Linked DNA regions of Arabidopsis thaliana. The protein of the gene in region 1 interacts with the protein of each later gene in a pairwise test. Each region holds a gene or a part of one and is shown on either strand. Other genes may lie near its edges. The genes, in order: AT4G14310 and CKS2.

What was found.
Region 2: the proteins of AT4G14310 (region 1) and CKS2 interact in a protein complementation assay, tested with the Arabidopsis thaliana proteins (one study listed by BioGRID).

What each region holds. Positions count from the first base shown.
Region 1 is NC_003075.7:8,236,167-8,242,227, reverse strand, and holds AT4G14310 (Transducin/WD40 repeat-like superfamily protein), read left to right. Parts: upstream 1-1,903; coding exon 1,904-3,424; intron 3,425-3,659; coding exon 3,660-3,740; intron 3,741-3,787; coding exon 3,788-4,404; intron 4,405-4,547; coding exon 4,548-5,091; intron 5,092-5,174; 3' UTR 5,175-5,469; downstream 5,470-6,061. Other genes in the region: AT4G14320 (Zinc-binding ribosomal protein family protein), read left to right, coding at 203-387; AT4G14315 (uncharacterized protein), read right to left, coding at 1,055-1,234; AT4G14305 (Peroxisomal membrane 22 kDa (Mpv17/PMP22) family protein), read left to right, coding at 5,623-5,694, 5,774-5,872, 5,956-6,057. UniProt on the Arabidopsis thaliana protein: Might be involved in division plane determination.
Region 2 is NC_003071.7:11,911,380-11,915,455, reverse strand, and holds CKS2 (CDK-subunit 2), read left to right. Parts: upstream 1-2,030; 5' UTR 2,031-2,195; intron 2,196-2,307; 5' UTR 2,308-2,343; coding exon 2,344-2,396; intron 2,397-2,490; coding exon 2,491-2,551; intron 2,552-2,858; coding exon 2,859-2,996; 3' UTR 2,997-3,305; downstream 3,306-4,076. Other genes in the region: AT2G27980 (Acyl-CoA N-acyltransferase with RING/FYVE/PHD-type zinc finger domain-containing protein), read left to right, coding at 21-77, 159-416, 490-554, 631-687, 778-871, 1,167-1,307, 1,390-1,506; CKS1 (cyclin-dependent kinase-subunit 1), read left to right, coding at 3,913-3,965, 4,041-4,076. UniProt on the Arabidopsis thaliana protein: Binds to the catalytic subunit of the cyclin dependent kinases and is essential for their biological function.

The DNA.
Region 1 (6,061 bases):
GCAACGTGAATGGAAAATGAAGGTTCTATTTTGGCTATATGATAATCATGCCATTAGCTGACCCGAAACTAATGTGTTACAATAAAACCAAATTATATAAATAGAAGAACATGTTTCCTGGCTCCTTATTGCACAAAAGAGAACATGAACAACTCTTTTTATATTACCATGATAGTCCTATGTGTTTTGGCCTTTGTGTTAGTTTTAATTGAGAGCTGTGCGGGCAAAATGGTAGATGAGATGATATTCTCTTGTGTCTGCTGTGGTGGTCCTGGCTGCTGTGGTGATAGAGGAGAAGGACCTGTTGGTGGTGGTATTGACAATGAACCGGTGAATGTAGTAGTGGTGGTGGTGGAGCCAGGCAGCCAGCGGCGGAAGATGTGGTGACGGTCAAGGATGCTACTTCAGTTTTTCTTTTTTTACTTTATTATACTTAGATTCTGGTACTATATATATTATGGGTATAGATAATTTACACTAAAGTTTTATTTCCGTTATTTAAAATTCGTGTTTTATTTAATCTCTAATTTTCTGTTTCCAAGTCGAATTCCTCTGTACTAATTATACGGCCTTTTAATTTTACAATATGAATAGCCATTTTCTACTAACACATTCTTACCTTTTAGAGGTGTTAATTTTAAGGTAAGTTTCTTCTCTACAATTACGTAATATCATTCAAATCTGTTCATGCTGACAAAAGTTAGGTACTTTTGTGTATATTTCTCGATCATTGACATTGTCTACTACGCTAATATCTAAGGAAAGTGGCATCGATTCTACTTGCTTGTAAAACATACATCGCGATGTAAGTCAAATTCTCTAATAATGTAAGAAACGAAGTGAGAAAGAAAGATAAATCCAAAAAATTTACTTGCAAATCAATAGAGATCCAAACCAACTGCGCATGCGTTAGTCAATTGATATATTGTATATAATAGAACAAATACAATTTTTGTTTTTATAAATGTATAACCAAAAACGTAAGAGCAATACTATCGAAATAAATACGTACTGCATATTACACGATAATAATAGAAAGAGATTTGATGTTTGATCACTTGGAAGTAAAATGGAGATAGAGAAACACAAAGAGCAATACGACCGGAAACATCAAGATCATTGGAAGAGATGGTGCAGTCACCGGTCCCATCATCAACGGAACAAACAGTAACATTAGTGCAACGACAACAATCGCCAAAACCGAACCCATCCCGAATCCATACTCATTCGCCATTTTCGTCTACTTTTCGATAGGAGTAGTGATCAATTCTGTGTTAGTGTCTCTAATTGGAGAAGTTATATATACACAGATTCAGACATCAAATCTACGGTTGTGTCGTTTCCCCGAGAAGTAGAAGACAACGTTTCGTGTACTAATGCATGAAACACAAAAACTGGCGAGACCTTTCACGTTAATAACCACCTCAAAACGCTGCGTTTCGGTTTATTTGTTGCTGCCACGTGTTTTAAAAACAGCATACCCTAAACGCATCGTTTCGTGTCGCAATCAACTATTCAACTGTTACTGTATATTTTATTAAAAACGCAGCGTTTTAGTTAACAAAATTCGTGTCGCTATTTCTACACTGCCACGTGTTTCAAAATGTCGCGTTCTGCATTTGTTGCTATCACGTGTTTAATAAATTTACCTAAACGCTGCGTTTCGTTAATCAATCGACTTTTTGAACATTCGCGATCTCCAAAAATTTTGAGTTTTTTTTTTGGAAATCCCGCCCAAATATTTTGAAATTGAAACTCTAATAAATTTGTCGGCTTGTGGAGTTGCGGTAGTGATATCCTCCATTTATCGTTTTGTGCTTTTTCTTCAAAAATCAAAAGCTTTTATTTTTCCCCCAAACTTTTTTTTCAAAATCCTAAATCATTTTACCCTACGATTTTGCAGATGTCAGCTTCAACGAATCGCCGCCGGCTAAAAGATATAAACACCGGCGCCGGTGAAAATCCATCATCTGGTAAAAAACCATTGAGGTCTGTAACTCCACTTCCGATCTCAAGCAAAAATTCAAATCCCGCTCTTCAGAAATCATTATCCAGCAAAGAGAATCCGAATCCGAAGCTTAGTCACCGCTCATTTGGATCGACTCAGAAGCCAGTGCTCCGGCCTGTACCGCGCATTGATAAGTCCGCCGTGAGTGGCGAGGGTCGGGTTACGCGATCCACGTCATCTGGTTTGCGAGGTAGGAGTTCTAGTCCATCTGATTTGATTAGGGTTTTCTCGGATTTGAGAAAGAGAAATGAATCTAGGGTTATTGGGGAAAAGGGTGAATCGGGTCAGGATAAGAAGTCTGGGCTCAAGAGTTCTGGATTCAAACAGGGTACGAGTGAAATTAAGGTTGAGCCAAGTAGTGTTTGTGAGAAAGCAGATGAAGGAAGTAGTTGTCCAGTGAATTCAAGCAAATTTGAAGGTTCTAGTGTGGCGAGAAATTCAATTTCTGATCCAAAGGCACATGCTTTAGTTGGTTCTGGAGAGAAATCTACTGTTGCTTTGAAATCTGATAGTAAGATTGAAAAGACTGGGAAAGGGACTAGTGTAGCTTTAAGAAGGAAGTCTTTGGATAATGTTGGGAAGGCAATGGAGATGTCAAAGGATATAAGAGGAAATGAAGGAAGCAGCAATAGTACTGCTAAGTATCCAAGCAAGCTGCACGAGAAGCTTGCTTTTCTTGAAGGAAAGGTTAAGAAAATTGCATCAGATATCAAGAAGACAAAGGATATGCTGGATTTGAACAATCCGGATTCGTCTAAGGTTATAATCTCTGATATACATCAGAAAATCACAGGGATTGAAAAGTCTATGAGTCATGTTATTGATGGTCCAGAGAAAAACAAAACTACGAAAGCAAAAAGTTCTGTGAAAGGATTAAATAAGGAAGAGCTGGAAGACAGACTCTTGCCTCACCAGAGGTTGCTAAGGAGCAGAACTCAGTCCAAAACATCTTCGCATGTCTCAAAAGGCCATGATTCTGTTGAGTCCAACAAGGCAGTGAATGCTGAAGAAAAGCCGTCAGCTCCTGTTGAGGAGAATGCGATAGCTCTAGAGTTCTTGGCCTCACTTGACAAGGAAAAAGTCACATTTATGAGTGATCAGAATGCGCTGGAAAATCTGGAAGTGCAGGAGATGGATACAGAGGAGCCGTCAAAGGAAAATGATGTCTCAAAAGACGTCAATCTGACTTCCAACTTAACTGAAATTCTTAGAGCAAACGAAGCCCTCGAGGAAATTGATGATGAAGAGAATAGAGAGGAGATGGAGCTGGAAGAAATAGATGATGGATGCATGTATCAACTCAATGACATTGGGTCCAAAACTTCTACAGGAGGATGGTTTGTATCAGAGGGCGAGGCAGTTATACTTGCTCATGATGATGGCTCGTGTTCCTATTACGATGTCGCTAACTCTGAGGTACTATGCGTTTCTTCATTTATGAAAAGTTTTTAGTATCATGTTTGATCTAACTTGAACTGTGCTAGTGTGGAACATTGATTTTAAAATCTCATATTGACCACAACATACACATATCTCAAGTTACGAGAAGATGTTTAGCATATCTTATTTTGATTTAGATTGGATTTTTCATCTTATACTTGCAGAAATACTTAGTGACTAAAGCTTTATTTTGGGCTAATAGTATGCACAGTTTATGGTTAATGAATGTAATTCTCTGTCAATCTGGGTGCGTTTGTATGAAGTGACTGGAGTTTTTGGCTTTGTTCACTATGTATGCATTATTATCTTTTACATCAAAGACTTGAAATTCTTTTTCAGGTGAAATCTGTGTACAGTCCTCCAGATGGTATCTCACCAAACACTTGGAGAGATTGCTGGGTAGTTCGTGCACCGGGTGCTGATGGCTGCTCAGGCAGATATGTCGTAGCTGCTTCTGCTGGGAATACCTTAGAATCTGGCTTTTGTTCATGGGATTTCTACACGAAAGACATTAAGGCACTCCACATCGAGGACGGATCTTCAAGAGTTTCAAGAACAGCTCTTGCTCCTCTACCCAATAACACATCACATGGTAGGAACACTCCGGCTTGTGCAGTGGTACCAGAAACTCAACAATGGTGGTACAGACCGTGTGGTCCTCTTATAGCATCAACTGGTAGTTTTCAAAGTATAGTAAAGGTTTTTGACATACGAGATGGGGAACAAATCATGAAATGGGGTGTGCAAAATCCTGTGTCAGCTTTAGATTATTCGAGCCCTTTACAATGGAGGAATCGAGGAAAACTTGTCATAGCCGAAACTGAAGCAATTTCTGTTTGGGATGTCAATTCCCTTCACCCTGAAGCACAGCACACCATTTCCTCTTCAGGGCGAAAAATCTCAGCTTTTCATATCAACAACACAGATGCTGAAGTTGGGGGTGGTGTTCGTCAAAGGTAAAAAAACTTTATTTTACCATTTAGCCTCTTACTATCTCCTCGCTTGGCCTCATAAATTGAATATGTGGAAGCTAAACAATGTGGATACTTTACTCTTTCTCTCTCATTCACTTATAATGTTCTCTTCACATGGAATGCAGAGTAAGTTCCTTGGATGCTGAAGGAAACGACGGAGTATTCTGCACTAGTGATTCAATCAACATCTTAGATTTTCGTAACCCATCTGGCATTGGTGCTAAAATCCCCAAACTCGGTGTTAATGCTCAATGTGTATCATCTCGAGGAGATTCAGTGTTTCTAGGATGTACCAATCAGAAATCAACTGTCAAGAAACAAATGGCTTCTTCTTCTCAGGTGCAGCAATTCTCCATAAGGAAACAGCGTCTCGTGAGCACATACAGTCTGCCTGACTCAAACTCTCACCCGCACCACTCTGCAATAACCCAAGTCTGGGGAAATTCAAATTTTGTCATGGCTACTTCTGGTATGGGACTATTTGTGTTTGATACTGCAAAAGAAGAGACCTTGCAACAACAGCCATTGACAAGTGACTATGGAAGCGTTCAAACAGTAAGAGAGATCATCGGTCCAAACGATATGTATTGCCCGTCATTTGACTACTCAGGTTGTCGTGTACTCCTCATCTCAAGAGACCGCCCGGCTTTATGGAGATACCTCTTATAGGTAAAGCAATAAAATTGTTGAAGAAAGAAGTCTTGAATACAAACTTGTGGCTGATGTTTATAGTTGAATTTCGTTTCTTTCAGGTGAGTAAATCAATCTAAAGATGGTGATCCCACGAGACCTATATTTAGCAAGTGTTAGCACAGCTTGTGCTGCTTTCTCTTGTGTTGTGTTCATACTATTGCTCTTTGTTACCAACTATGATGCTTTTCTGGATTCTCTTTCGTGCTATTTGCTTATTTGACTTTACTCTGTACATACATGTGGTGTTTTGATCAATTTCCTAGGTTTCTTTCTCATTACTCAGATGATTTCTGTGTTATAAAATGGTCCGAAGAAAAAGATATGACAAAGCATATTTGACTAACGAATATATTCCTAATTTAGATATTTCTTAATTTGGCCTAAAGTAAATCCATTCGTTACCCATAATCTAATTTTTTTTTGTTAATACGAAACATGGTTAACTTCTCTTAAATCAAATCTGGATCTTTTAGTCTTGTCAAAATCTTGCTATTGAATCTTCGAGCCATGTCGGATCTTGCTAAAGACGCATGGCGAAAGTATCTGATTCAGCTTCAAGCTCATCCTTTACGAACCAAGGTTTGTTAATTTCGATCAAAGAAGTCTCAGTTTATGAGAATCTTGCGATGATCATGTCGTCGTAATGATATTTTTTCAGGCGATCACTGCAGGGGTTTTAGCTGGATGTAGTGATGCTATAGCTCAGAAGATCTCTGGAGTTAAACGGATTCAGTTCCGGAGATTGCTTCTCCTTATGGTTCGTTCCTTATTTGTCTTATATATGTTTGCAGTTATATACTTTTTTAGTCTGGAGAAAATGTGATGATCTCTTTTGTGCAGTTGTATGGCTTTGCTTATGGAGGACCATTTGGTCACTTTTTCCACAAATTGATGGATACCATTTTCAAAGGGAAGAAGGGTAATTCAACTGTTGCCAAAAAGGTTT
Region 2 (4,076 bases), on another chromosome or scaffold:
TTTTGTTGTTTTCTCCTCAGTGTGAAAAGGAATTCCATGTTGGCTGTTTGAAAGAACGTGACATTGCTGATCTCAAGGTTCTTTGCCTATTTAGCTCTTTCATTCCCTCGGGTGAAAACTCAGTATCTATCTTTCTCATTCTTGTTATGTCTTAACAGGAGCTACCTGAAGAAAAATGGTTCTGTTCCCTCGGGTGCGAAGAGATCAACACTACATTGGGCAATCTGATAGTTCGCGGAGAAGAGAAGCTAAGTAACAATATTCTGAATTTTTTAAGGAAGAAGGAACAACCTAATGAAGAAAACTGTCCAGATTATAAAACCACTCCTGACATAAGATGGAGGGTCCTTAGTGGGAAGTTGACCTCTTCAGATGATACCAAAATATTGCTTGCAAAGGCACTTTCCATTCTTCATGTAAGTCAAGACCACATTTCAAACTCTTCTGTCCTTTCTGCTGTTTGTCCCTTCTAACAATTGTATGCTATAGGAACGGTTTGATCCTATCAGTGAATCTGGGACCAAGGGAGATTTGATACCAGCCATGGTGTATGGGTAAGCAATTTTGTATCTTCAATCAGTCGAGTGGATTATTCTTTGTGCTGATCAACAACTTTTGTGTGTGGAACAGAAGGCAAACAAAGGCCCAAGATTTTAGTGGCATGTACTGCACTATGTTGGCTGTGGAGTAAGATTCTTCTTCTTTTTCACTCTAATTTATTTTCTGTGACGCATGTTTCATCTTTTTAATGTTGTCCTTTTTTTGTTTCTTGTGCAGCGAAGTGATTGTTTCAGTGGGAATCTTTAGGGTTTTTGGGTCAGAACTTGCAGAACTCCCTCTGGTTGCTACCAGCAAAGATTGTCAAGGGCAGGTAAACAGTTTTTATCTGGAACCTTGGATGTTTTTTCTTTACAACAGGTGCCTACTCCTATAGAATGGTTAATAAACGACTCACTCTTACTGTCAATCCCATACATTGATAAATTATACAGTGATACATCTAAGCAGACATGTTTTTGTGTCGAATAGCTTAAGAGCAGAACAATGTGTAGCATCTTAATTGCAGAAGGAATTTTTTTGTGTCAAATTGTACCTGGGGGATGAAATGCTTGTGATTGCTCTTTTTTGAGAGTTTGAGAATTTATGTTTTTTTTTTCCTATTGTAGGGTTACTTCCAATGCCTGTTTGCTTGCATCGAGAGGCTACTTGGGTTCCTAAACGTGAAACATATCGTGCTACCAGCAGCAGATGAAGCCAAATCCATATGGACTGACAAATTTGGTTTCACCAAGATGACCGACGAAGAGGTATATATCTATATCCATATAAACTTATATACACTCCCAATGAATCCCATCTCTGATACACACTGTGTTTGTGTGTTATTAGGTGAAAGAATACAGAAAAGACTACTCGGTGATGATCTTTCATGGAACATCTATGTTGAGAAAGAGTGTACCAGCACCGAGTGCCGTGAGTAAAACTGAGGCCAGTAAGGAGGAGTAAGCTCAAGGTTGTCTTTGTTTTTTGGTTTTTGGAAAGTTGGTGAAACGATTGGATGCTCTTTTTTAATCTAATTTCGGGTAGTAGCCACGTTCTTGTACAGGTTTCTCCCCTAACGTGTCTTTCTTTGTAATGGAAACTAGAGAGAAAGATACACAAAAGGGTTAGAGAATTTGGTTTTGGTAGAGACGAAGTAGAGATAAGAGGGGGAAGTAAATGGGGAAGTCTAAAACATTAGGGCATTCTTTTGGGGGTTTAGTCATGATTATCCGAAGCTAATTTTTTTTTGTATATTAGTGCCCAAAAATGAAATTCAATTTTCTGAAATCTTTTTCTTTTTGTCACTGATGTTTATATATCGAACAAAGGAGGTATACAAAGCCGGCGAGTATACGGACACCTGAACTCTGACTATAAGAGGAAGATACTGATGCCTTTAGAAATGAATCTCTGAACCGGGAATTATACCGGTTTGATTAACGTCGAACCGTAATCAAAATTTTAGGGCTCCACTAAGCGGGAAGGAGCGCCTCTAAGAAATTTGAAACTCAAAAAAATCAAAACACCCGTTGAGAAAATGCCCCTATAAATCCCCATAATTACTTCCTTACCACAATGCCTTTTTAATTCCCTTTCGCTTTCCCTCTTCTCCCCTAAAATTCATTTCGTTTCCGATCGCACTTCTTCTCAAGGTCTGCTTTACTTCCCGATTCTTAGATTAGGGTTCGATTTCTGATTTGTTTAGGTTCTCGTCGTTGTTTAGGGTTTAGATTACTGACAGATTGCTCCATTTCTTTTGTTTAGTAAATTTAATAGACGTTTGTTGGGTGATTTAAGAAGATGGGTCAGATCCAGTACTCCGACAAATATTTCGATGATACTTTCGAATACAGGTGATTCTCAGTTTGATTCTCCTCCCATTTTAATGGAGTTCTCTCTCACGTTTTAGTTTCAGTCTAATCGCGTGGTCTTTTATTTTTCTCTCAGGCACGTTGTACTTCCTCCGGAAGTTGCTAAGCTTTTACCTAAGAATCGTATTCTTTCGGAAGTAAGTTAAAAATTAGGGCTTTCCTCTATTCGCTGTATAACCCTTGAATCATCGTAGGCTAAGAGATTTACATGTTTAAGAAATTAAGTTAGGAAATTGAAGTTTGGACTTTTGAGAGTCGAAGAAATTGAAGTTTCTGCTTAGGAATTTGAAGTTTTGCTTCTCATTAACTTGTTTATTAACTTTAGGTTGTGTAATTGTCAGCAGTGACGAAGATAGTTTAGATATTTTTTTGTGTTATCAGTCAATTCTCAGTTTTCTGATTTTGAAGTTAACAGTTTTCTTGTTTTACAATCTGGTTTTGTAGAGTGAATGGAGAGCCATCGGAGTGCAGCAAAGTCGTGGATGGGTTCATTACGCGATTCATCGTCCTGAGCCACATATCATGCTCTTTAGGAGGCCTCTTAACTACCAGCAGGAGCACCAAGCTCAGATTGCTAAGTAGAAGAATTATGCAAAATTCTCCCTAATCTCTGTTTATGTCTCTCGTAAACGAGGTTTTAAAATACTACTCTGATGTTTTGTTCCTGTAGTTTTTTTTATTGTGTTCATGAATTCTCTTCAGTGGAGAATCATGTGAGTTTGGTAGAACAACTTTTAATGTTATGTTAAGTCTGGTCCTTTGCTAGACTTTGGTTGGATCCACGTTTGAACTTCTTCATGGTTAAGAATGAAGACGTTATTTCTCATGCTTATGTGCTTGTTTCATCATTTCAACCTCTTTTTATTGCTCCTCTTAGAGTCTTAAGTCCATAACTATGAACAACAAACAAGGTATCATTACAATGCCAATCTGAAGGTCTAATCACGATTCTCATGGCGATACTGATTCAAAGAAACTCATATTGTGTCTCAATCACCACATTCACCAAACACCATATATTCCTTACTGTACTACTATTAGTGTATTGAAACCAGGAGATTCAGAGCCATTTTTATAAATTAACTAGATATGTATCTTATACCTAGTGTGAAGCACTGATTGTTGGAATTAAATGAAATTTCGAGAAAATGAACGAGTTCGTAGTTTGATGGTAAATAACAAGGTCTTTGGTCAAAGCAACCAAACAAGTTGTTGAATTTAATTAGAACCAAACCAATCCACCCAATTTCAATTCATTTTGGTAACTAACCGGTTTATAATCATTCATACCCAATCGGCGTCTTCTAAAGAATTTCAAAACTCTAAAAAGTTAATCAAACACCCCTCTATTTCCTCATAATTACATATCTACCCCAAACCACTTTATTCTCCTTTCACTATCTTCCCCAAATTTCAAACGATCAGATTACAGATTCTTCAATTCCTCTTTCCCTTCTCCTCCATTTCCTGATTAAGGCTTCACATCTCTGAGAGAGAAATGGGTCAGATCCAATACTCCGAGAAATACTTCGATGACACTTTCGAATACAGGTAAAGCTCTTCAATCTCGCTTCTTCTTCCTCCAATTTTCACTCTCACTTCTCTAATCGTAATCGATCGATACAGGCACGTCGTTCTTCCTCCTGAAGTCGCTAAACTTCT